Oreochromis niloticus: one gene and its partner. The protein of the gene in region 2 interacts with the protein of the main gene of each other region in a pairwise test. Links are inferred from orthologs where the notes say so. Each region holds a gene or a part of one and is shown on either strand. Other genes may lie near its edges. The genes, in order: sox14 and naif1.

Region 1 (11,300 bases), on a different chromosome or scaffold from region 2:
TACCAAATAAAAATGAAAGCTGTCCGGAAATGAAGGGTTAACTGAGCGCAGAATAAACTTTCGTGCAAACTGTCCGCTGCACAGACTGAACCTGATGGATGCAGTTCGCTTCTGTGGGTGAAGCATAGCGTCCGTATCCCAGCAATCTGTATCCGATCATCTCCAGAAAACTGACCGCACAGGCCCACGTGCACGTGTGCGCGCCTACATGTGTATATGTAAACAATAATGCAAAAGAAGAAGAAGAAGAAAGCCCGCGCTGTCTCTCCATCAGTCGGGGGGAATAAAGTCTTGGTGTAAATCACTTTTCCGACTGGTGCAGCGCATTAAACAACCGTGCCATGATTCCTTTTCTCTCAGCTCAGCCGCCCCCCTCCCATTTTTTTCTTTATCAGCTCGTTCACCATTTCATTTCTTTCAAATGAGAATTCAGGGACCCCCAAATTCAAGCCCCCGCGTCTTCAAACAACAAAACTGTACGGTCTTACTTTTTCTCCCGTCAAAATGGTATCCCAGATTCAATTTTAGATAGACCAGGATTTAGCCAGTGATGACTTCTTCCTTTTTTATTTTTTTAGACAATATTTAATATGCTGAAATGAGATCAGCTTTTACACACACATACAGACACACACGCTCACTCACAAAAATGCATTTTTTATAATAAGTGAAATCTCGCGTTGAAATAAAAATGAATTCAGCTGTGATAAGCCGATCTGTGTCTTGGCATATTTTCCCCTTCTCCTATCATCATCATCGTCATCATCATCATCAGAGAAGCAACAACAATGACACTACCATCATCATCTTCATCATCATAATCTTCGACCCCTGTTTTAGAAAATTAGCACGCCTAAATACAAAACCACATTCTCAAAGCCACTTATCAAACTCCATTTCCTGCTGATGATTTCAGGGTGACATTAAAACACAATAATGTAAATGACCCATGACTTTTAATTAAAAATGTCCACCTCCTCCCCTCCTCATCCAATTATTGTTTCGTCTGTTTTACTTCTTTTTTTTATATACTTTATGTTGCTGAGAGAAATAAAATAATAATGAAAAGAAGTCAAAGCGCCTGCTTTACTCGGTGTTTCCCCTCCTCATTGACTTTTATCACCAAATGAAGCATATAAATGACCTGAAAGCGCTGGCTGTCGCGTTAAATTAAATAAAATAAAGAACAATTATCCTCTCCTTTTTCCTCTGATCTCGCGCTGAAAAGGAGTCCTGGAGAGATAAGGCAGATTGAATTCTCTCTGTTGTGCTCCAATAAAAACGTCAAGGGGGGAAGAGAGATTTAAACACACACACACACACACCCGCACACACACACACACACCCTTTCCCCCTATAATTCCAAATCATAATTTCCCTCCCATTATACCTCTCACATGCCGTTTATCGTTATTTATTTCAGGGCGTTGTAACCGCACTCAATTTCCGTGACTAAGTTGGATAATTACAGGTAGTGAGTGAATCCTGTGATGTAAAACTTAAAAATAAAAGAGACTGCAAACAATACGGTCTTAAATATATTTTTAAAATGAATTATATATATATATATACACACATATGCATACAGACGGGCCTTTATCCAAGTCCGCAGCTACTCCTGAAAGTAATTATAATTGTCTCATTTCAAAGTTGAATTAGAACGCTTTAGGGTTTTGATGTAAAACTTCACATTCGGTTCAATGAAGTATCACCCTAATTTACAGCTCCAGATAAGAAGCAAGTCTGTCATAAAAATCTGCCCCCCTCTCCTCCTTTCCCCTGCCCTCCCTCCTCTTCCTCCCCAGGATGGAATTGCACCTTGGGCAATAGTGCAGAATGGTAACTTCTCCCCACATATGTTCCTGGCAGATAAGTAAACAATTTGGATGTGGAATGATTTTTTTTAATTAATACTACAGTGTTAATATGGGCAAGCTACACACACTCACACACGTGCGCGCGCGCGGTACGCAAATCCATCAGTCTCCATTAAGAAGAATAGAAGAAGAAACAGACCCCCTCGCACCCCGCGCTGGGTCCAAGTTTCCTTTCATTCCTGCTTGGTTTTTTTGGGGCGAGTTGTAAAGCTGTGCTCACTCTCTGTTGTCTTAATGAGAGCCGGGGCCTTTTTCATTCACAGGTCGCTGCAGGTTTAAACACGTGCGGATGACTCGGCGCTGATAGAGGTTTTAACGAAGTTTTTGGCTGGAGCAGAAATCGCACACGCAGAGATTTTTTTAAACCGCATCACAGCCGAGTGGTAGGCTGCTGTACAACCAACCAAAAAGTCGCAGATTGGGTGAAAAAAGAGAGAGAGAGAGAGAGAAAAAATCAGTATTCTCCATTAGTTAAACCTATAATTAAGTAGCTTCTTGAAGTGATTAAGCAGTCAGACGAGTCGGACGGGCGGAATCCCTCCAGGGAGGCCTCTCCTGAACTGTCAAACATCAAAAACCGGTTCATCCCGGTGTCACAAACACACCTTCATCATGCTGCACCGCCGAACATGCCTGAACCCTGCTTCTGCAACACGAAGCAGAGCAATCATCATAATAAAAAAATTTTTAAAAAAAGAAAGAAAGAAAGAAAGAAAGAAAAAGAAGCAGTTAAGGAATAAAGCTTTGTGGAATGATCAAAGGGCGTGGAACTGACAGCTTTAACTACCGCACAAGGGAGAGGGGATCGATGAGGGAAGAGAGGATTGATTTGTTGTTATTGTTCTAATGTGCAGCCTATCAACAGTATTGATTAGCTCGGGTGTATTTTTTATCTTTAAAAAGATTAAAGTATTTTCATAATTTATAACTTTAATTTTGTATATTTATTTTAATTTGAATTTTATAATAACTATTAGTTTGTGATCATTACACCTTTTACATCTATTTAATCGAGCTTTTATTTTGGCGGTTTAAACGCCCCCGCAACACGTGCACATTATAACGCTATCTCTGTGGTCTCAATAACCTACAAATACAGGAAATTGATCTGGTTGAAGACAGATTGTCTTTATTGAAAATGTCTTTGCTCGGCACTTGAACAAAGAGCAGGAGGTATCAACCTTCTAGATACATTATCCTTTCCATAACATGACAGGTTTTAAATTACCATCTTAGATAGAAAATACACATAGAACTCCTTGAATTCAAATAGAAGTTATCCTTAAAAAACAAAAAACAAACTAAAATGACGCGTGTGACTATATTAGCACTGAACCACAGGTAAAAATGCAAAATGAAACATCTGGATGTAAATGAATTTTTTTTTTCCTCATTTGTGTCTTCTTAAATAGACCGTATAGTTTTATGTGCCAGTTTTCTTTTTTCTTTCCTCTTTTTTGTGATAAATATAAACAATATAACCCGTATATAATCCAGCCTACATGTCCTGATTTTGACCCTATGTCCAGAACATCGTCATAAAATTGCCAAAATGTGGACTCCTTAGGCTGATACAGGAAATATGAACGCTAATTGTGCAAGCCAATTTTTCAAAATAAAAGTGAAGCCTAGCAATAATCAACACAAATCAGCATATCAGCATTGAAATGTACACAATAAATAAAGTTAAAGGCCTCCTTTTCTGGTTGCCATAAACGTTATAACATTTACATTTCTTACAGTTCACAGGGCTCCGTCCTTTACACCAAACTCCAGCTCCTTTGCTCAGGCAGGAACTTGGTGGATTTCTGCAAAAGTTTGTTTGTTTTTTCCTCTTTTTTGTGCCATAACAAGTCCAAGGCAGTTAACACTGTTCATGCCTTTTTAATAGGGCGCGCTGTCCATAATATATTTACATGCATTTCAGTATTCAAGTGAATTAAAAAGAGCAAATGAGTCTTGAGGGTTACATGGCAGTGGCATGTGCGGATGAATATGGGTCTATCCCAGTCTTGGTCATACCTGGAAAAAGTATGTAGGCCACCGGGGGCTGTAAACTTGATGCTGACCAGGCTGTGCAGTTACACGGGACGACATAGCCTGGGTTTGTGGGCGACGGGTGGGTGTGGGTGTGCTGACTGGGGCACCCAAGGGTGCCGAACGCGCCGTTTTGGTATCCCAGTGAGGATGCGTACGGCAAAGTGCTGGTGCTCAACGTGTGGGGCATCTCGGTCATCTTCTGGATGGCGCTGGAGCTGAACTGACTTGGGTCGAGGAAGGAGTACGGGGCGGACGTCGGCGGCAGAAACGCTCTGGCTTTCTCTGAAGAGCCCAAAAGAGAGTCCGCGGCCGACACGGGAAGTCCCTTCAAGTGATCGGTGTCCCCGAGGTAAGGCAGCGGGAAAACGTAACGGTCCTTCTTGAGCAGGTTTTTGGGTTTGCGCCTGGGTCTGTACTTGTAGTCAGGGTGCTCCTTCATGTGCTGAGCCCGCAGCCTCTTGGCCTCATCGATGTAAGGTCTCTTCTCAGACTCTGACAGCAGCTTCCACTCAGCGCCCAGTCTTTTGCTGATCTCCGAGTTGTGCATTTTGGGATTATCCTGTGCCATTTTCCTCCTCTGGCCCCGGGACCAAACCATGAACGCGTTCATGGGTCTCTTGATATGATCAGCAGGCTTTGACATCTTAAGACTATACTTTTATCCCCAATGTTAATAACGAGGAAAAGTTCTGATCTGAAAGAAGGCAAACTATTCACCTGTCTAGATGCCCGATACCAGTCATGCCCCGCCTGGGATCTTCAGATTCTGGAAAACAAAATCAAAAGAAAAGAAAAGAAAAATCCAGCGCCCGGTGCGTTTTCCCCGAGTTTGAACACTGGTGCGCCTTCGTTTAAGTCCAGTAACAACTCTGTCAGACCTGCGCCAGGCAATACGGGAAAAAACACATGCGAGACGCACACACGTAAAAAAAAATCCACAAAGGTGAAAGCGATGTTCCGCAGTCAGTTTGCTGGAGTCGTAAAAGTATTAGGTGTTATTTTTTTTTTCTGCCACACACGCGCGCGCTCTCTCTCTCTGAGGTTTGTCGTCAAGCACCTGGCTTGGAAATGAGCGGAAGAGCGTGAATACGAGCCAAAAGCGGTGAAGTTCAAAGGCTGGGCTGGTTTGGTTTCTGCACGCAATCTGACATAATCTGCAGGGCGTTCACTCACCAACCTGAGCGCCCAATCAGCACGGAGAGCGGCTATTATAATACCTTCACGAAAAAATATGTACATTACAACATAAACAAAGAGCGGGAGGTAGTAGTAGAAGAAGAAGAAGAAAAAAAATAAGGAAAGGGGTGTATGTGTGTGTGGTGTGTGTGGAGGGGGGTAATACCCAGGATCCCTCCCCTATTCCATTTAATGTAATGAATCGCAACAAACATGGACCTTCAACCTCTTTTCCAGTTAAAACCTGACTTCAATCCAGAGAGGTGACTATACCGTGCAACCAATTTACTGTACAGCTTTACGCACAGACGCCGGGGAGCACTTTGGACGTAAAGTCCCCCCCAAAATGCACGCATATATGTGGGCCTTTGATACAGCGGAGCCCGGTTTTATTCGCATTTTCACATCATAAAATAAAATAAATAACATTAAAAATAGTAATTATAATAATAAAAGCACGACAGTTCATTTGCAACCGATAGGTCTTCCTCTCTTGCTCGAGGACACTTCAGCCGGTTTTAACCTCTGTTATCCCGCTGCTGGTGGGGTAGCTGGGGGGTGTGGACGGGGTCACAAAAACCTCTTACAAGTCCATTTTTTTTGTTAGCATTCCCTTAAACCACCTAACTCCCACGAGCACGCACATATGATAATACACACGGGCGCGCACACGATTTGGGCCCACGCGTGCCAATGTGTAAAACTAAAACTAGGCATCGGCAGAATTACCATCACCGAGGAAATATTACATATAACAATAACTACAAACGTTAAGAGGAGCCATCATTGTGCGTCTGTAATTGTTGCATTAGTTCACATCGATTTGACAGATTTTTTTTTTTTTTAAAGAGGCGCAGAGTGATCGTTTTAAAATGCAAATTTCAACCAGGACCACTGCCTAATAGCCCTCGGGCTAATGTGCTTGATATATGATACTTTCAGCTGTGATTATTAAACGAAAGGCAGACAGATGATTTTTTTCTACCCCCTCTACACACACCGTCAAATGCTGTAAGTGGAGGTACAACCCCAGTTAGTTACACTGCTAAGCAGATTTATTTAAGGTTGTCTTTGGCCTCCATCTCTCTCTCTCTCTCTCTCTCTGTACATATGTGTATTTTGCGGGCTGCGTATTATCATCTCATCTTCCTCTCTTCTTTGTGTGGCTTAATGTAAACAGATACTCTAAAGATGGTTTTCGGTTCTTTAACATGTCATCACATCACACTCACAAGCGTGTTTCTAATACAGAATGACCCGTCTAAAAAAAAACGCCGATTTTTGCACACGTCCGCGGGCTATAAATTTACTGTCGTGACCCAAACCTCATTTTATTTCGAGAACCAAAATAAAGCAAAGCGTTGTTCGTTTTTCTGTCTGATATTCCCACATTTCATCCCCATCTCTGTCTCTTTCTCACGCTCTCTCTCCGCTCCCTGTCTCCTCGCACACGCATGCGTCAATCGGCAGCTTGGAACAAGAAGATTTCCATCACATCTGTCTTTACAAAAAAACAAAAAAAACAAAAAAAACTTGAAAATATCGTCTAAAATATGATCGTTTTGGGAGAGAGATCCTCCTCACCCCGACCCAGAGAACAATCAGTTGAAGACGTCTCCGACTTTTTTTTCCTTCCCCCCTCCCAGTACATCCGCGATGGCAGGATGGCAGGAAAAAAGGGGGGAAAGAGGGAGGAAAGAGGGAGAAACAGCTCCTACACAATCCTCGCAATCGACAGGCTATATGATGCTCATCTGCAACCGCGAGGTAGTATGCCGCATGTTTGCACTGTATATTTCGGCTTGCATTGAAGTTTTAAATTGTGCTATGCTATCTATCGCAGAACAGCGCATGCAATTTAACATGTAGGCTGCTGCTGCTGCTGCATGCCCACACCGGCTTCATTTTATGATCAATGAATTAGATAAGAGGAAATTATTTTAGGGGCTGAGCCTCCTATACTCACGAGGGAGAAGTCGGCTATGTTTCTTATTCAAAAACTGATTGTCTAATAAATGCACGCCTGAAAGTTCCCTCGACAATTTACCGGGATAATGAGAAATGCAATAGGGTTTGATTCGTCAAGGACTCAGATGATGATTATTATTCCCATCTTTAGTTTTATTACATGCAGCCGCGGTACATTTTTGCTCTGAGATAATAATAAAAAATGCAATAAAGAAATTTTGGGGTTTGGGTTTTACACCTGAATGTAAAAAGATGTCCAAACCTAAGTTATTTGGAAATGCCAAAAGATCTGATAACAACATATAAACGGAATTTTAAAAAGTGGGGGAAAATGCCTTTAACGGGCTATATTTGGTTTAGAAATGACTCCCAAAATTAAACACACTATCAGTACTATACCCTGAAAATCAGCCTATTGGGCAAGTTTAATGTAGGCTTTTATGGAAATAGAATAAAATTAAAACTTTTAGTCTAATAAATTCAAATCACACACAAACATAGAGGAGCGCGTGAGACAAACACAGCACACATGCGTGCGCACACACACAAACTGATCTCAGGACACATGTCCATCCATCTCGCCTTAAAAAGTGAATGGGGAGCGGCCTGACACACGGAGAGCCTATTAGCCAACTTGGGTTCCCGTGGAGAGCATTGAGGTAAGCTCCCCTACCGTAACTGTCCATGGTGCTGAAGCGGTAAGAGGTTTTCTTTACTGCACACTTGCGTCCTCCCCTCAAAAACTCTTAAAAGCTAGGGTTGACATTTCAATGCCTTTTATTGTATTTCCATCCTATTTAGTGATGGTTCTCTGTAAAAATAAAATATTAGAAACCGAGACAACTCACATGGGTCTACAACTTTCCTAACTTTTTTCCTTCTTCCCAGCAGAATGTTTTTAAGCCTATTTTTTTCCACAGTGTGGAAGAACTACTGCTGAACCATATTTGGAACTAATAAATTGTGGCAACATAAATTATCTTAGGCACACAAACATTTTTATGTTGTCAGAATATGTCTGCGTGTCCTGTACTTTAGCATCAGTGCAGGATTAAGTCTAACTCGGCCAGTGCATGTTGGATACAGCATGTATTACAGCATCATCTATTATGTTATTATATTGAATCATTGCTCTCAAGATGGTGGTGACGATCTGCTAATATTAAAGTAGAACCATACAGTACACAGTACCAGCAAATAGACAGTGCCATTTACAGTTTTGCTTCAATATTTATTCAGTAGTTTGCACAGATAATAGTGAGCTCTCTTTGAAAGTTGTTCTTTCGCTTTAATTTTGCAGAACCTTATATGCACACATCTCTACGAAATGTTCAGTCTGAATGTAAAAGTATTTCATAGTTAAAGCAGAATGTCTTTTTAACCATGTATAGAGAAAATGTTCTATCAGCTTCATTTATAGCCTCATATACTGAAAACTGAGTGTTCATGGTCAAGCTGTTTGTCCCCAGCAATGGCACAAAAAATGTATATTCAGACTTTGGCTGTTGATAATTATTCATGCAATGTTAAACACACAAAAAGGGCTTTCTTTCACTCATATAGAAGCAATTCTAAAACTCAAATTCTGCATACAATAATGCAGATCTTTTTACATTATCCCATTACAAGTCCCATTCACTAACACTGAGAAGCAATCAAAACAGCAATGAGCCGCATTTGAGATGTATTGCCAACATGTATTACTAAGCTCAATATATATCTTTGTGGTGAAATTATTTCTCAGGAAGATAGAGAAATCAGACTTAAATAAAATTCGAAATGACTGAACTTAAGCTGCTCTCTCTTTTATTCTCCAACACTGGATAATACAGAACGGAGCTGGAAAAAAAATTAACAGAGGTTCAAGGCATCAGGTAATAATGAAAGGATAGGGCCAATACTTCAAAGACCAAGAGGTCCACATCACACAATTATACAATACAATTAGGATTAAAGGGGCAAAACAGAGATAACAGGAGATAGGGATAAATTATCACAAAAGGAAAGATGTGACTCTCTCCTGACCTTCATTAAGAGAAAAAAAACTCATTTAGAGCTGGCCTTCCTTGCAGGGGGATTTCAGCCTTTCACATGAGACTGTGACTCAGTAGATAAGATTTAACCAGCATAAATGAGAATCTGAACTGCTACCAAACAATAACATAAGATGCATATTCAGAAAAAAAATTCAATAAGTAGTGATGCATATGTATATACAATTTAAACAACAAATACATCCATTTCAGAGCAGGGTTAACTGGTGTTATGCAAACCTTATCATTTTGACGCTAAACAATTTATTTAATAATTTAAAATATTTATTCTCAAGTTTTTCAATAAGCTGACACGTTGACACTGCTGACTGTTAACGTGGTGTTCCAGGGTTTTCTAAGAGCTTGACCACATCCAGAATACAAGTCTATGCGGAGTTCAGGTAAAACCAAAAGACGCTCAACCTTAGACATCTTCGTCACTCAGATCAGGTTAACTGATAAGTATGTTTACTGGATATGCCAAACCTACCAGGTTAACCCTGAAATGGTCACATGATTCCTGAGGGTACTAAAAAACATATCCAGAGTCAGTGGGTAGAACTAACCAAAAGAGCTTTGTTTGGGAATCTGCCATGTTGCAAGATGCCATAGTTATTCAGCATGTCTTCAGTAGTATCACGGAACCTCTGACGCACAACGCTCATATTGTTTTTTAGAATTTCTATCCAGGTCCAGATGTTTTTCTTGTCATTTCAAAACAATAGAGGATAGAAATAAAATAGAAATTGTACACTACCGACCTGCTTGAAGGTACTAAAGTTATAAGGACAGGAGTACTGACTCTAGAGTGAAAATTACCCTGTGCTTATATGTGGACTGATGATAAGAACCTAGCCTTCAGACAAAGACCCAAATAAATCAGTTAATGGTAGCCAGTTGACCAACTCAACAGTATTCAAGAATTAAAGAACTGATCCGAGTTCTCACTTGTTAAACAACTCTACAAGGGCCTAGAGTCAGAGCTTTAGTCTTTCAACATGCCCCCTCACCTCACCCTCACCTTTCCGTTCTGTTCAGCAACTATAGTGTCCAGACATCATCAGTCTCTGCCCGATGGCCAAGCATCTCCACTGATATTCATGATCATCATTTCCTTGAAATCTGCTTACTTTGCCTGGTACTGTGATCGTCTTCTTGCCAATGATGGAGTTCAACTTAAAGTGCACACAGAAAATGACTAACAGCAACACAGTGACCAGACTATGGAATGTCAATGAAATTTGCAACTTATAGAAATGTCTGAGTTACACTAACCTTCAGGTGAGTGATTAAAAGAAACAATCAGTGGAGGCAAAGAATACCGCTGACTAACATGTGAGGTGAATAGAAATATACAAGAGAATTGCTTACGGAAATGAGTCCTGTAAACCATTGACCTGACCTTCCTGCAATGGGCAATGAGCAACAATAAAATACATGTATATAGAAATTGTGATAGAAGCAGGCTTTTACAATCACAACTTCTAAATTCTTGATAATCTCCAGTACATACAGTTCTCCTACGACATGTTTTTGACTGTGAGGTTAGATCTTCTACCATCTATCCTCACTTCTGCACATATCAGACAAATCACCAAGGGAATTTCTTTTGTGTTCCCTGGGTTACCAAACGACTTCTAAGGACTTGGGAGTGAGTTTATGGGATCATGTCTGCTGATCCTTTCTTTCAGATGGTGGATGCAGATGTCACAACAGACTTGTACTGGATTCATCATGAGGAAACTACGGATATCAAACTGCATGTGAAAAACAGACCCGTCACAACTGTACCATGTCTAGAATTCTTCCTTTTGACCCAGTAAGCCCTGATTTTTTATTTACAATTTAGATTTCTACAAAAAAACATGACCAAATGCCACAACTTTATATTGATAAGAGATACCTGGAATAAAGTTTTAATACAACAAATAATCTTTTCTCCATCACCAGGATAAAGAGTTTTAAAAATCAAAACAAAGCAAAAGTCCAAGTATAGATACCTTAATTGTGGATCTTAAGAAACTGATATTCAGCTTTAGGACCATGTATAAAATACCATTACAAAATATCCACCGCCAAAGTCCTCATCTGTCCTTCCCAATCTTTTGGTAACAGGTGCAGAACTTCAGAAAGAAAAAAAACTTCATCCTACGATACCAGAAAAACCTTCACCATAAAATGAAGATGGAGTTCTTCATAGCTCTGA
Region 2 (11,154 bases):
TCAGCTGCTCCACATACATGGTTAAAAAAATAAAAAGCGCACAACAGCACAGCTGGACACTGCTGCAGAGGACTGGGGTCTGGGTGGTTTCTCCCAACACACCAACTTTCCCCTCCTGCTGCTCACACTTCGACAGGCAGTGAGTCTCCCTGAACGCCTCACTGGGAAGTCAGGGACCGTCCGCAAAGTCTGGGCAGAGGCGCATGTGAAGAGGAGGAGGGGCCAAGAACGGCGTTAAAAACAAACATGAAGCGGAAGGCCACTGGAAGGGAATGGGGGCTCTTTTGGATTTTAATTTTATTTACTTATTTTGAATATTTAGAAAAATAGAAAAAAAATATAGTATAAAAACACAGTCAGAATTCAGATATTTTTTCCTCAAAATTCTAGAAAGAAATTTCCAAAAGATCCCACTTTTTTCCTTCACAGATGCTCTAATCCTAAATATAAGAACAAATCCTAAATCAAACCGTCTGAAAATTCAGTTAGATCTAATGGCTTTAACTGTGGACAGACCTGCCTCTATAAACATGTAAAACACCAAAAAAAACCTGCAGTTCCTCTAATGTCCTACTTGAGTGAGTGAGTTGTTCCTCCGTAGACTCCCCTGTTAAAATGTCTAGAGTTACAGTAGGAATAAACATTTTTACAGCCTGATACACAAACTATTTCAGTCTGTAGGAACGTATGATCATAACATCTGTACAGGGATGAATTTATTAAAAACTCACCTGTTTAAATGACATCAGGGGCAAAGCTTGCGTTGTTAGGGGTGTCACATGCAGCTGGTTCAGAGCCCAACTCCCATTTTTTTCCTATATGTCATAAGTGTTATATTTAAAGGAAAAATGTGTTTGCACTTTTAATAAACAGCTAGGTTTGATTTAGACAAGTACATTTAGACATATAAAGATTTAAAGCTTTATAAAAGTTAACAACTTTGTGACCAGGTTTAACGCAGAAAACACCGTCCATTTGGCTATGTAATAAGCAAGGTTATTATAACCAGATGTGAAAAAACATTTTGACTAAAATAAAAATAAAAACTACACCTTTGAAAAAAGTAAACTATTAATATAGTAGTTTTAGTACATCAGTAGTTTGATAAAAACGTCCCTGATGAGACGTTGATGGACGTGTTTACTGAGACTCTGGATGCAAGACTGCGAGTCACTGCTTTAAAAACTGTTTTTATTGTAATACCTGTATCAACTTTCCCAAATCTTCCCTCTGACATATGCCCCCCATGCAATAATACTAACACAGAAACTAATTAAACTAAATACAAAACTGTGGTTTGCCTCGTGCCCTCTTTGCTTCAGGAAACGAAGACGCCGTCTTAAAAAAATCGATTAAAAACTGATAAATATCAGGAACTAACATCAATGGATCTCATCTTATGGTGTCAGCAGCCAACAGGGTCGAGGAGCTATTGCCGATGTTTGCTCTAAACTCAGGAATACTCATAGTAAAATGTGCTTTACTGGGCTTTTTTAGATACCTCTCTTTGTTAGGGACAGGTCACATGACTGGAAAAGGAAAAAGAGGTTCAGCAAACAACCCTAAGTAGAAATGATGAACTATAAAGTAATAATACTTTAATTATTTCAGGAATAACTGATTTGTTAAGGGTTTTTAAATGAAAACATCAAATTAAACTCCAGTACACCCTGCAGTACTACAGTGTCCTCATTTGTGAAAGTTAATCTGATACTGATACTAAAAGACGGATTTCCTTCCTTTCACCCTCTCAGGACCTCAAACGTCACTGCTCACACACCTGTAATGAAACTCTGACTTACACTGACCTCTGCTGGCTGGTTGTAAGCACTACAGCCAGCAGAAAAAAACATCCTGCTCTGTTTATTTCCATTTCCATCTTTCAAACTGTTGGCTTTTTTAGAGTAGGCTTCATGATTTATGTTTCATAGTTAGCTTTATTTAGTATATATCGAAACATCCACCCAGAATCCAGTTTTCCAGCCTGAAGGCACGCCTTCAAGAGCTTGTCATTTTATTGAACATTCAACGAGTTTTGCACCATGAAATCATCCCCCAGTGTGAGACCATCATTGCTGAGGTCTGCTGTGAAGTCCTCTGAGGCATCTGATAGTGAACAATCAGAGGAAATGAACTGTGGTGCACGCCATCACGATCACCTCCCTCAAACATTTGGACGCACTGGACAAGATCCATCACACACTGTAGAGTAACAGTACAGGAGGAACATAAGAGCACTGCAGCGGATGGAAGCTCCGAAAACAATTTAGAGCTGCACAAGAAGACGATACCAAGAGATGAGTGGAACTTTGGACGTGTTTCAAGTATTTTATAGAAAGCCTGCTCTCTATGACATGATACAGATCTAACAGTAGAAAAAACTGTGTGAAAATAAGTGTTTACAACTTTTGACTCATGGGGATCATTGGTTCACACACTGACTTCTTTTACCATGTTTAACATGAACATCTGCCCCTGGGACAGGAGAGATGTGACAGGACATAAAGAGTTTGGCCTCTTTTTCACTTTATTCAGGTCTGAACACATGCTGGTTAAAGTGCAGCTCACGGACAAACCTGGCTCGCCACGGTCTAAAAAAACCAACCCGTTAATTTTCCATCAGGCTGACGAAATAGTTGCATAAAAAGATCAGAAAACCAGATTCAGGGTATTAAATAACATGAAGTCGTGGCAAAAAATAAAAATAATAGTTCTCCATTGCTTCTGTACATGTTCTTCATAAGGCATAATTGTAATCATGGTTCACGCACGTACGCACACACACACACACACACACACACACACACAAGCACGCACAGAGTCTACTGCGCCTCCTCAGTCTGTTGTGTAGGAAGTGGAGGTGTTTTGGGCCTGCTCTGCTCCTCCATTGCCGCTCCATCAATGGTTGCTCCAGTCGCCGGCGTCGCCACAGAGCTACTGGCGTTCGCCGCCTCAGACCCGCTCTGCAGAAACTTCCTCAGGTCTTTGAGAGCCGGTCGGAGCATCTGCACCAACGCGAGCAGTGCGGCCTGCGTGCCCTCCAGTGCCTGAGCTTGCCTCTCCTGGGCAAACGCCTGCGCCTCCTGGGAGCGTCGCATCATCTGCAGCAGCTCATTCTGGCCCTCCAGGTGCTGGGCAATCTGGCGGATGTGCACGTTGGTGACTCGCTGCTCCTGCAGCAGGCGGGCGGAGTTCAGAGCAATGCGGCTCTTCAGCTCCTGTGGTTTGGCCTGACTCTGAGGCGGTGGTGGGGAAGCAGAAGACGAGGCCAGCATCTCCACAGGACCCTCGACCGCGGCCACCACAGTCGGGGCGGAATCGCCCTCAGTGGTGGTGCAGTACTCCACCACGCCGCCATCCTCCAGAGTGTGGTATGTCGTCTCAGCTGGAAACAAGAAACAGTTTCAGATGTTTATTAAAAGCCTTACAAAGAACATGAAGAAACAATTGCTCTGAATGCATGTCTGAAACATCTTTCTACTGTGCTGAAGAAATATCAGCTGAAGCGGAATTAGGGCTTGGCTGTACTGTCATGTAATACCAATCACCATCACAAGACGGCGCAGTGAATCAGTGTAACCTTTATTCATTTAACCAGACAAAAAGAAAAAATTTGCATTTAATAGTAAAAGTTAAAATTTGATCCCTAGTGGTGATTAAAATGCACCTTTTAAAGCGCAGCAGTTCAACACCACACAGTCCAGTAGAGTTGTGATTAGAAACCCTGATGGCTCTGCAAGTGTCACGGGTAAAGTATGAACATTTACAAAGAAATGAAACGTACCGTGCAGCTGCTTTGAGTTGTCACAGACTGTCCCGGCACCGGCTGGAAGAGCTGAAAGACAACCAGAGGAAGAAGCTAAAGACTCAATGAAACTATCAGCAAATCTTTACAATGTAGTTTTTATTTTAAAAATGTAACTCTAAATTTAAGTGTTACATTTAGGGTTACATTTTTGTTATGTATTATTATGTTCATATGATCAGATTTCATATTTACAGTCCAAATTAGTATTTAATTAAAATATTAATAAGTAATCACTAGGATTTAACATTTATTACATTTTTGGTGTCAAATGTTGCTGTTGATTTCAGCCCACTTGGCTTTCAATAGCTAACTATGGTAGTATCCAGTCTGTCTTTATTATTTAGATTTAACATTTTGCATTTATATTTTAATGTTTTCATAATCATACATTATACACTATATATTATGTTTTAAAGTATCTAATAATAATAGATAATAATTTAAATTTACATTTAATATTGAGATTTAACATTTAGAATTTAGTACATTTATGTTTGTATGCAGTTTGAATGTAATTCCTACTTTTTAGTATGTATCTCACAGATTTATTTAAAAGATTTAATTAACCTATTAACTTTTAAATGTAAATTTAATAAGCTATTACTTTTTTGTTTACATGTAATAATACATTTAAAAATACTTACATTAAACATTGAGCCTGTGTCGTTAATGCGTAGTTTTAGTTATTTTGCACTTCATGTAGTATTTTGAATTTGAATGCAATATTAACCCATACTTGAAAATATTTAATTTAGACCAATTTTTACCTTTACATTTACTTTTCAGGTAGAAACATACATGTAACTAAACTATAATGCTTACGTTTACATTTAATAACATTTACATTCACTATTTTGGTCTGAATTTTCAGTGGTTTCAGAAAATACTTATAACAATTTCACACTTTGGGTTTTTTTTAGTGTTACACGCACAGTTATTTTCGGCACGCATCACTTTCCGTACATCACCGTGCGGCACTCACCCTCCGTCAGAGTGACGGTGGCGGCGGCGTTGACGGTTACAGGTAAGGAGATCTCAGCATCCGAGTCTCCCGCAGGTAGGCTGATGATGGTGGCCTCTCCCAGCAGGTTACAGATCCGCTGCTGCATGGCGGTGAGGATGACGGGAACTGGAGTGCAGTCCGCGGACGTTCCCTCGATGGCAGCCCGCGCTTGGGCCACCTTCCGCCGGACCTCCGTCTTCATGTCGGACCACTTCTTCTTCACCTCGGGCAGCTCGCGCGGACAGGTGGTGACCTGGTTCACCTTTTTCAGGATGTCCATCCACGCGTTATTCTTGGCCATGTGTGTGACTCCGGCATTGAAGTGGTTAACCAGTGTGTGCTTTTGTTTCTCTATTTCTTCCACTATAATTTCCACCTCCCTCTCCGAGAAATTCATTTTTCTCTTTTTGGCCACCGATGCCATAAGTGCAGAAAAGCGTCTTTACGGCAGGTAATTGTGCGTATTGTACGCAAAAATAGTAGGATTTACTCCGTTAATGTGCGCAACGTAATGGCTTCCAGAATCGGCTTCTTCTTCCTACTAACGACGCTTACGTTAGACGAAGGACGGAACCCCGCCCACTGAGACTTCCATTGGTTGAGGATCTCGCGGTCATGTGGTATTCTCTCTTACTATTGGACCAAACAAAAGCCAATCAACTCAACGAGCCAAACAAAAAGACGAAGTAAAAAAAGAAGAAATGTTACCGTTGTCTCGCTTTTTTCCGAGTTACACTTGAGCGAAAACAACGTTTAAAACGTAAAAAAGAAAACTTAAGGGGAAACGTGAGCTGGGATATGACTGCTTCATCAACAGCACGGTTTTAATACTGCTGCTAAAAGGTAACAATTCTAAACACGTCTTTAAACTGAATACTACTACTAATAATCAATATTATAATTATTGTAACCTCTCATTATTTACAGCTTTCCAAGACACCATGAAATAAAAGCCTCAGAATTACAATTATATTAATATATAATATATAATTTTCAGTGTCTTGATTTAATGATTTGACAGTGAAATGCAGAGAAGCTGTCTTGCTTGAGGTTGGTCAGAGTTTTTCGATAATGGTTTTTCTCCCGTCTGGAGGATTCTTCTTTCCTTCAGATTGTTGTAGGTGAAACTCGCATTTTTTAATCTCTTCTTTGTTAAATAGCTCTGATATGTTAAGCTCACTCAGTCTGTTCAATGGGACTCTGCTTCCTGATCAGGGGAACAAAATCTGTTCTTCAGACTGAAAGAAACCACTGAAAACTGAGCTGGTTCTAGAGCTACCCACCAACTTTGTTTCCATCTGCGTTTGAACAAAGAATGTTTTCCACGTGTGATAAACACAATGACAAATACACAACAGAAACAGTTTGCCCTAAGAACAAAGGAGTAAAAAAGCTAACAGAGTCTTGTGCCCCATGTTTCTCTTTTTGTGTTTAAACTTGTAGTTTACATGGCAACAAATACCATGTGAGTGTTTTGGAGATTTTTTTTTCCTCAAGAGTCAATTCATATTTGTTAATATTGTAACAGTGCCTTATCAGAGAATTGAACCTTGGCCTCCCACATGATGTGCAGGGACCCTCATGGGGACTGTCACCAATACCGTAACAAAGAAAGGTGCTTGAAAGCAAAAGGAAAAACTATCTGTCAATGGGGCATGAAAGACAAAATAAAGCAAGAAAACAAAGTGCAAATACAAAAAAAGGTAGAAGAAGGTAGAAGACGAAGTGCATAAAGAAAAAAGGAGGACAAGAGGCAAAACAAGAACTTAAAAATTATCATGAAACCGACACAAATCAAGCAGCTCTGAAGCTGCTTTTACGTCTCAGGGTAAAAAACTATTTGTTTCTGCACTACATGAAAAGTTTGGACTTCAGTACTTTATTTCTTTTTTTCAAACTTTTACCTTGTTTTATATTGTGCTGTTTTGTCATGGTTCCTTTGGTTTAGAAGCTTCAACCTTTTTGTTTTTCCCCATCACTACTTTTAATGTACTATTTGTACCTCAGTATTACCCCACATCATATGTGGAACCTTGCGTGTTAAACCATTTTTTTTTCTTTTTTTGCACTTGTTTGGCACCTTTTCATTTTCCCATTGCTTTTTTCAGTTTAGGTTTGTAAGCATTTTTTTTAAACCAGCTCAGTATTTTAGGTTCATACATCAGATTTCCAAAAAGACAAGCTTGACTCATCACTGCAGAGAACATGCAGTCTGCATGCCTTGGTGCTTGACTTGATACACCTGTGGTCACGGAAATAATTGGAACACCTGAATTCAATCATTTGGATGGGTTAGTGAAAACGTTTGCAGGTCAGCAGAATGTCATCTTACGTCCGTGTATCACAGCATATAGTCCAGTTTCATGTTTACTCTGATCAAATACTGAGACTCAAGGTCAAAATGACCCATGGACTCCAGCTTGCAAAACTTTGTGACTTGGAACCAACGAGGAAGCCGATGAATTTAGTGATGCAAATAAGAGAAAAGCTTTGAAGGCAACGTTATCCAGTCTGTGATCAAAAACTTTACATTTTAAAAAGATCATTAAAAGATCATTTATTTGCAATCCAGTCAAACTTACAAACTTGAGTTTTGGCCACTGTTACAAAAATATACTCAAACGTTGTTTATGATTAGCATCCAAAAAGTAAAATCACCTTCATACCTTGGTCACAGACAAAATAATCAAATTCAGGAAAATAAGTCAGGAAAAACTAAAACCACAAACAACCCTCTTCCCTGGAAGCAAATCTCTCGCAGTTGTGCAAATACAAAACACTTCTGTTCACTTGGAGGAAGCTGGGTCGAGGTATTTGAGAGCTCCTCCCACCAGGTAAAGGCTTCCAGTGATGAGTACCTGGATATCGCTAGCTTCGCGGAGAGAAGCAGCTTTGGCCGTGACGCTCGGTTTAACCGGGAGCGTCGTCTTGGCCTGGTCAGACAGCACTGAGTTCCTGCCATGTGTGATCCACTGGAGGGCGCTGAAGATGCACGGGAATACCAAGGTGTCCCCTCTGTTCTCAGGTAAACGAGGAAGGCTGTCCTCTATCAGCAGCAGATTATCTCTGTTGTCATCCTGGTGGTTATGGAGGCGCCAGATCCTCTCATTGTCCAAGCAGCGACTCAGCATCTCCTCCACAGACATGTCAAACTTCTTCTCCTGAACTGAGGAGGAAGAATAAGGTGAAAGAATAACTTCAAAGTTTTTGGTTCAGAATCATTCACTGGATAAAACCAGCTCTTCTTGGATAATCTCCATCTGGAAACAGACTCCAACACAAACTCCAGACAAGAAAAAACTAAAAATGTGCATCAGATAGAATTAGATTACACCTGCACACCTCTGGACACTCAGATCCAGTGTCCAAACTGATTTTATATAGAACGATCTGTACAGGTGCAAAAAGATTCAGCGAACTCACTATTGGAAGTGCCGACTTCAGCGATGCATGGGCAGAACACAGCAAAGTCAAAGTGGCACGGCTGGAAAGAAACAAGAAATAGCAAAAAAAAATTGTTTTACAACTCTATAAGTACAATCACGTCCATGCCAACATACCCACAAATGCATTCAGGTTCAAAAAACTACTCACAACCAGGAGTTTAAGGAAAGCAGCTGCGTCTCTCTCTCCTGTAACGTTGAACAGTAAAACTCTGGCCACAGGGCCACTAAAACACAAACACATCAAAGTGTCACATCACATAGCATTTGATGTAAAAATATTCCTGTAGATCCACCAACAACTGGAACACACTCTCTGGTCCATTTTGTTAACAACGGGGACCGGGCTAAACGTTTAATTAAAAATTCTTCTTATCTTTTTTTTTTTTTTAGCTCACCTGGCGTTCCTCTCGTGCTCAGCTGCAGTCTCTCTAAACCACTGAGCACAGGCCTGGATGCTGTGTAGGGTGTGAGCTCCATCCAGGAAGTAGGTGACCGCTCCACGTTTTAGGGTCTGGCTCCTGCCGGGCCACTCGGTATCTGCCAACCCTGAGAGTAAACACATTCACTGTTACCTCAGCTGGCCTCGGCTGGGTCCTGTTGTTGTCTGATTGGCTCTGCGGAACTCACCTTTCACCATCATGGGGCTGGGAGTGAAGGCAGTCGCCTGAAGCATCCTGCCGTTGTTAACAGTGATGTAGGGTAAGCTGTTATCTGTTCAGAGAGGGCCGGTACATTGAAGGTACACTGACCAAAGCTTGCAGTTGTTATTTGCATTATTTTGTAATATTTATTAATTTATTTTTGGACATATATTTAAACATAAGCCCAACCTGGTAGACCCCTCATCTGAAGCCAGGTGTGACTCAGCTGGAGGGCGAGGGAGGCGTTGGAGCGCTGGTGCTGTCCTGCAAGGCCCAGGTGCAAAGGTTTACATTCCGCCTGGTAGTCCTCCAGCTGTGGACACATCCACAGTGGACACTGCAACAACAGGTTAGAGAGAGTTATAGAAAGTTGAAGCTTCACTTTCCTGTGTGATCTGACTGAAAGTGGACTTACCCCGATCTCTTTGGCCCGTTGCTCGAGCACGGGCATGGCGCCCTCTGGCTGTCTGATGGTGAAGGCGGGGACTCCAGGCTGCAAACACAAATATGCAGCATTACTAAAAAAAGCACGCATTCAGACTGAATCAGTGACTCACTCACTACTGTGAACACACCTTGAATATGCCCGCTTTGTGCCAGGCGATCTTTTCGATGGTGTCTCCCAGAATATCAGTGTGGTCTATGTCCAGGAACGAGATGCCACACACCCACGGCCTCCTGTCGAAACACACAGGCATGATAGTGACAACCGAGACTGTACACTGATCAAATTTCTCTGTACAACACAAATAAATGGTCTGTGTACCCAAAGAGTCACACTGAGCAAATTATGTTTGGAAAAAACAGCAACAACAACAAAAATCTAATATAAATAAGAAATGTAAATACTGTAAAAAAAAATAAAATAAAAAAAAGATGTAATGTTGCATAAAGTGGTGCAAAAACTGTATAAAGACAGACAGACTCCAGTGATTCTTATGACAAAGGCTTTTTAAATGTGTCCACTTGGTACCATTTCACCAAAAGGCGTTAGTTTGTGTTTTGATTTGGAAGCTTTTCCATTGTTTGTGATATTTCGCATGTTATGCTAAAGACTTATGCTGTGCTAAGTTTAAATCTCACCGTATTATGTTGGTGTTGTCGTACGCTCCTCCAATACCAACTTCAATCACAGCTAAATCCACCTGAGCAAAGACAAAGAGCCATTTAGATCCAAGGAGTGTTTATAGTAAATAAGACCTGCACCACTGCCTGCATGTAAGTCAGATAAATGAGTACATAACATGTGTCAGGAATAAATTCCATATAAACATTTTCTGGCTGCTTTTGACAGTGTACCTTCTCCTGAAGGAAGATATGGAAGGCCAAGATGGTGAGGATACCAAAATATGTCGGCATCGTCCCTCCGTTAGCATCCTGATGGGTCAAAGGAAAAAGTAAAGAATCATCAGTCTGTTTGTTTATACACCAAAGATGATATATTCATCTTATTTTTTTCCAAATGATCACATCAGGTTATCAGTGGCCCGTCTGAGAGTTTTATTTTAATTAATTTTAAGATGTTACCTTTCAAATACGATCTCAAATTTATTAAAAGCCTTGATGGCTTCTTCTCCTTCTGTTTTCAACTGAATTGTTCAGGGTTCACCACAGTGGATCATCTGCCTCCATCTCACCCTATCCCAGCATCCTCCTCTGTTACACCAACCCTCCACATGCCCTCCTTCACTTCATCCATGAATCTTCTTTGTGGTCTTCCTCTTCTCCTCCTGCCTGGCAGCTCCATATTATCATCCTTTGTCCAATATATCCTGCACTGTCCCTCTGATGCACTCATTTTCTAATCCGGTCTATCTTGCTCACTCTCAGTTAAAATCTTAACATCATTTAAAGTCACTTATTTTAAATTCCAGAGTTTAAAAATACTTTGAAACCTTCCAGAAGTAACAGAAGTGAAGAAGGGGCTGGTCTGATTTTCATATCTAAAGCATGTCTGTATTATGTTAGAGAGATCGAAAGCTGTGGTAAAAATTTGTGGTGGGTAATTACTGTATTTTCCGCACTATAAGGCGCACTTAAAATCCTTCAATTTTCTCAAAAATTGGCAGTGTATAATCTGGTGCATCTTATGTATGAATTCTGGTTGTGCTAACTGACCTCGAACCGATTTTATGTGGTACACGGCACTCAAAAATCTGTCAAAAAAAATGTTTTAGTATGACTTTGGTAAGCTACAAAGCCGCACCGCTTGATGGATTGCTGGAGCATTACGGCTACTGTAGTCAGGAGCCTCGC

What was found.
Region 1: the proteins of naif1 (region 2) and sox14 interact in binary tests that used the Homo sapiens proteins (3 or more experiments, as listed by UniProt). The two-hybrid records come from large-scale screens. The link is inferred for Oreochromis niloticus from reciprocal best matches to the Homo sapiens genes NAIF1 and SOX14.

What each region holds. Positions count from the first base shown.
Region 1 is NC_031986.2:32,082,140-32,093,439, forward strand, and holds sox14 (transcription factor Sox-14), read right to left. Parts: upstream 5,145-11,300; 5' UTR 4,561-5,144; coding exon 3,844-4,560; 3' UTR 2,985-3,843; downstream 1-2,984. UniProt on the Homo sapiens protein: Acts as a negative regulator of transcription.
Region 2 is NC_031972.2:34,730,999-34,742,152, reverse strand, and holds naif1 (nuclear apoptosis-inducing factor 1), read right to left. Parts: upstream 5,637-11,154; 5' UTR 5,236-5,636; coding exon 4,791-5,235; intron 3,836-4,790; coding exon 3,785-3,835; intron 3,386-3,784; coding exon 2,823-3,385; 3' UTR 2,818-2,822; exon of another isoform or gene 2,203-2,817; 3' UTR 1,888-2,202; downstream 1-1,887. Other genes in the region: folylpolyglutamate synthase, mitochondrial, read right to left, coding at 7,598-7,977, 8,235-8,295, 8,406-8,481, 8,653-8,803, 8,885-8,968, 9,088-9,391, 9,474-9,576, 9,982-10,043 and 1 more. UniProt on the Homo sapiens protein: Induces apoptosis.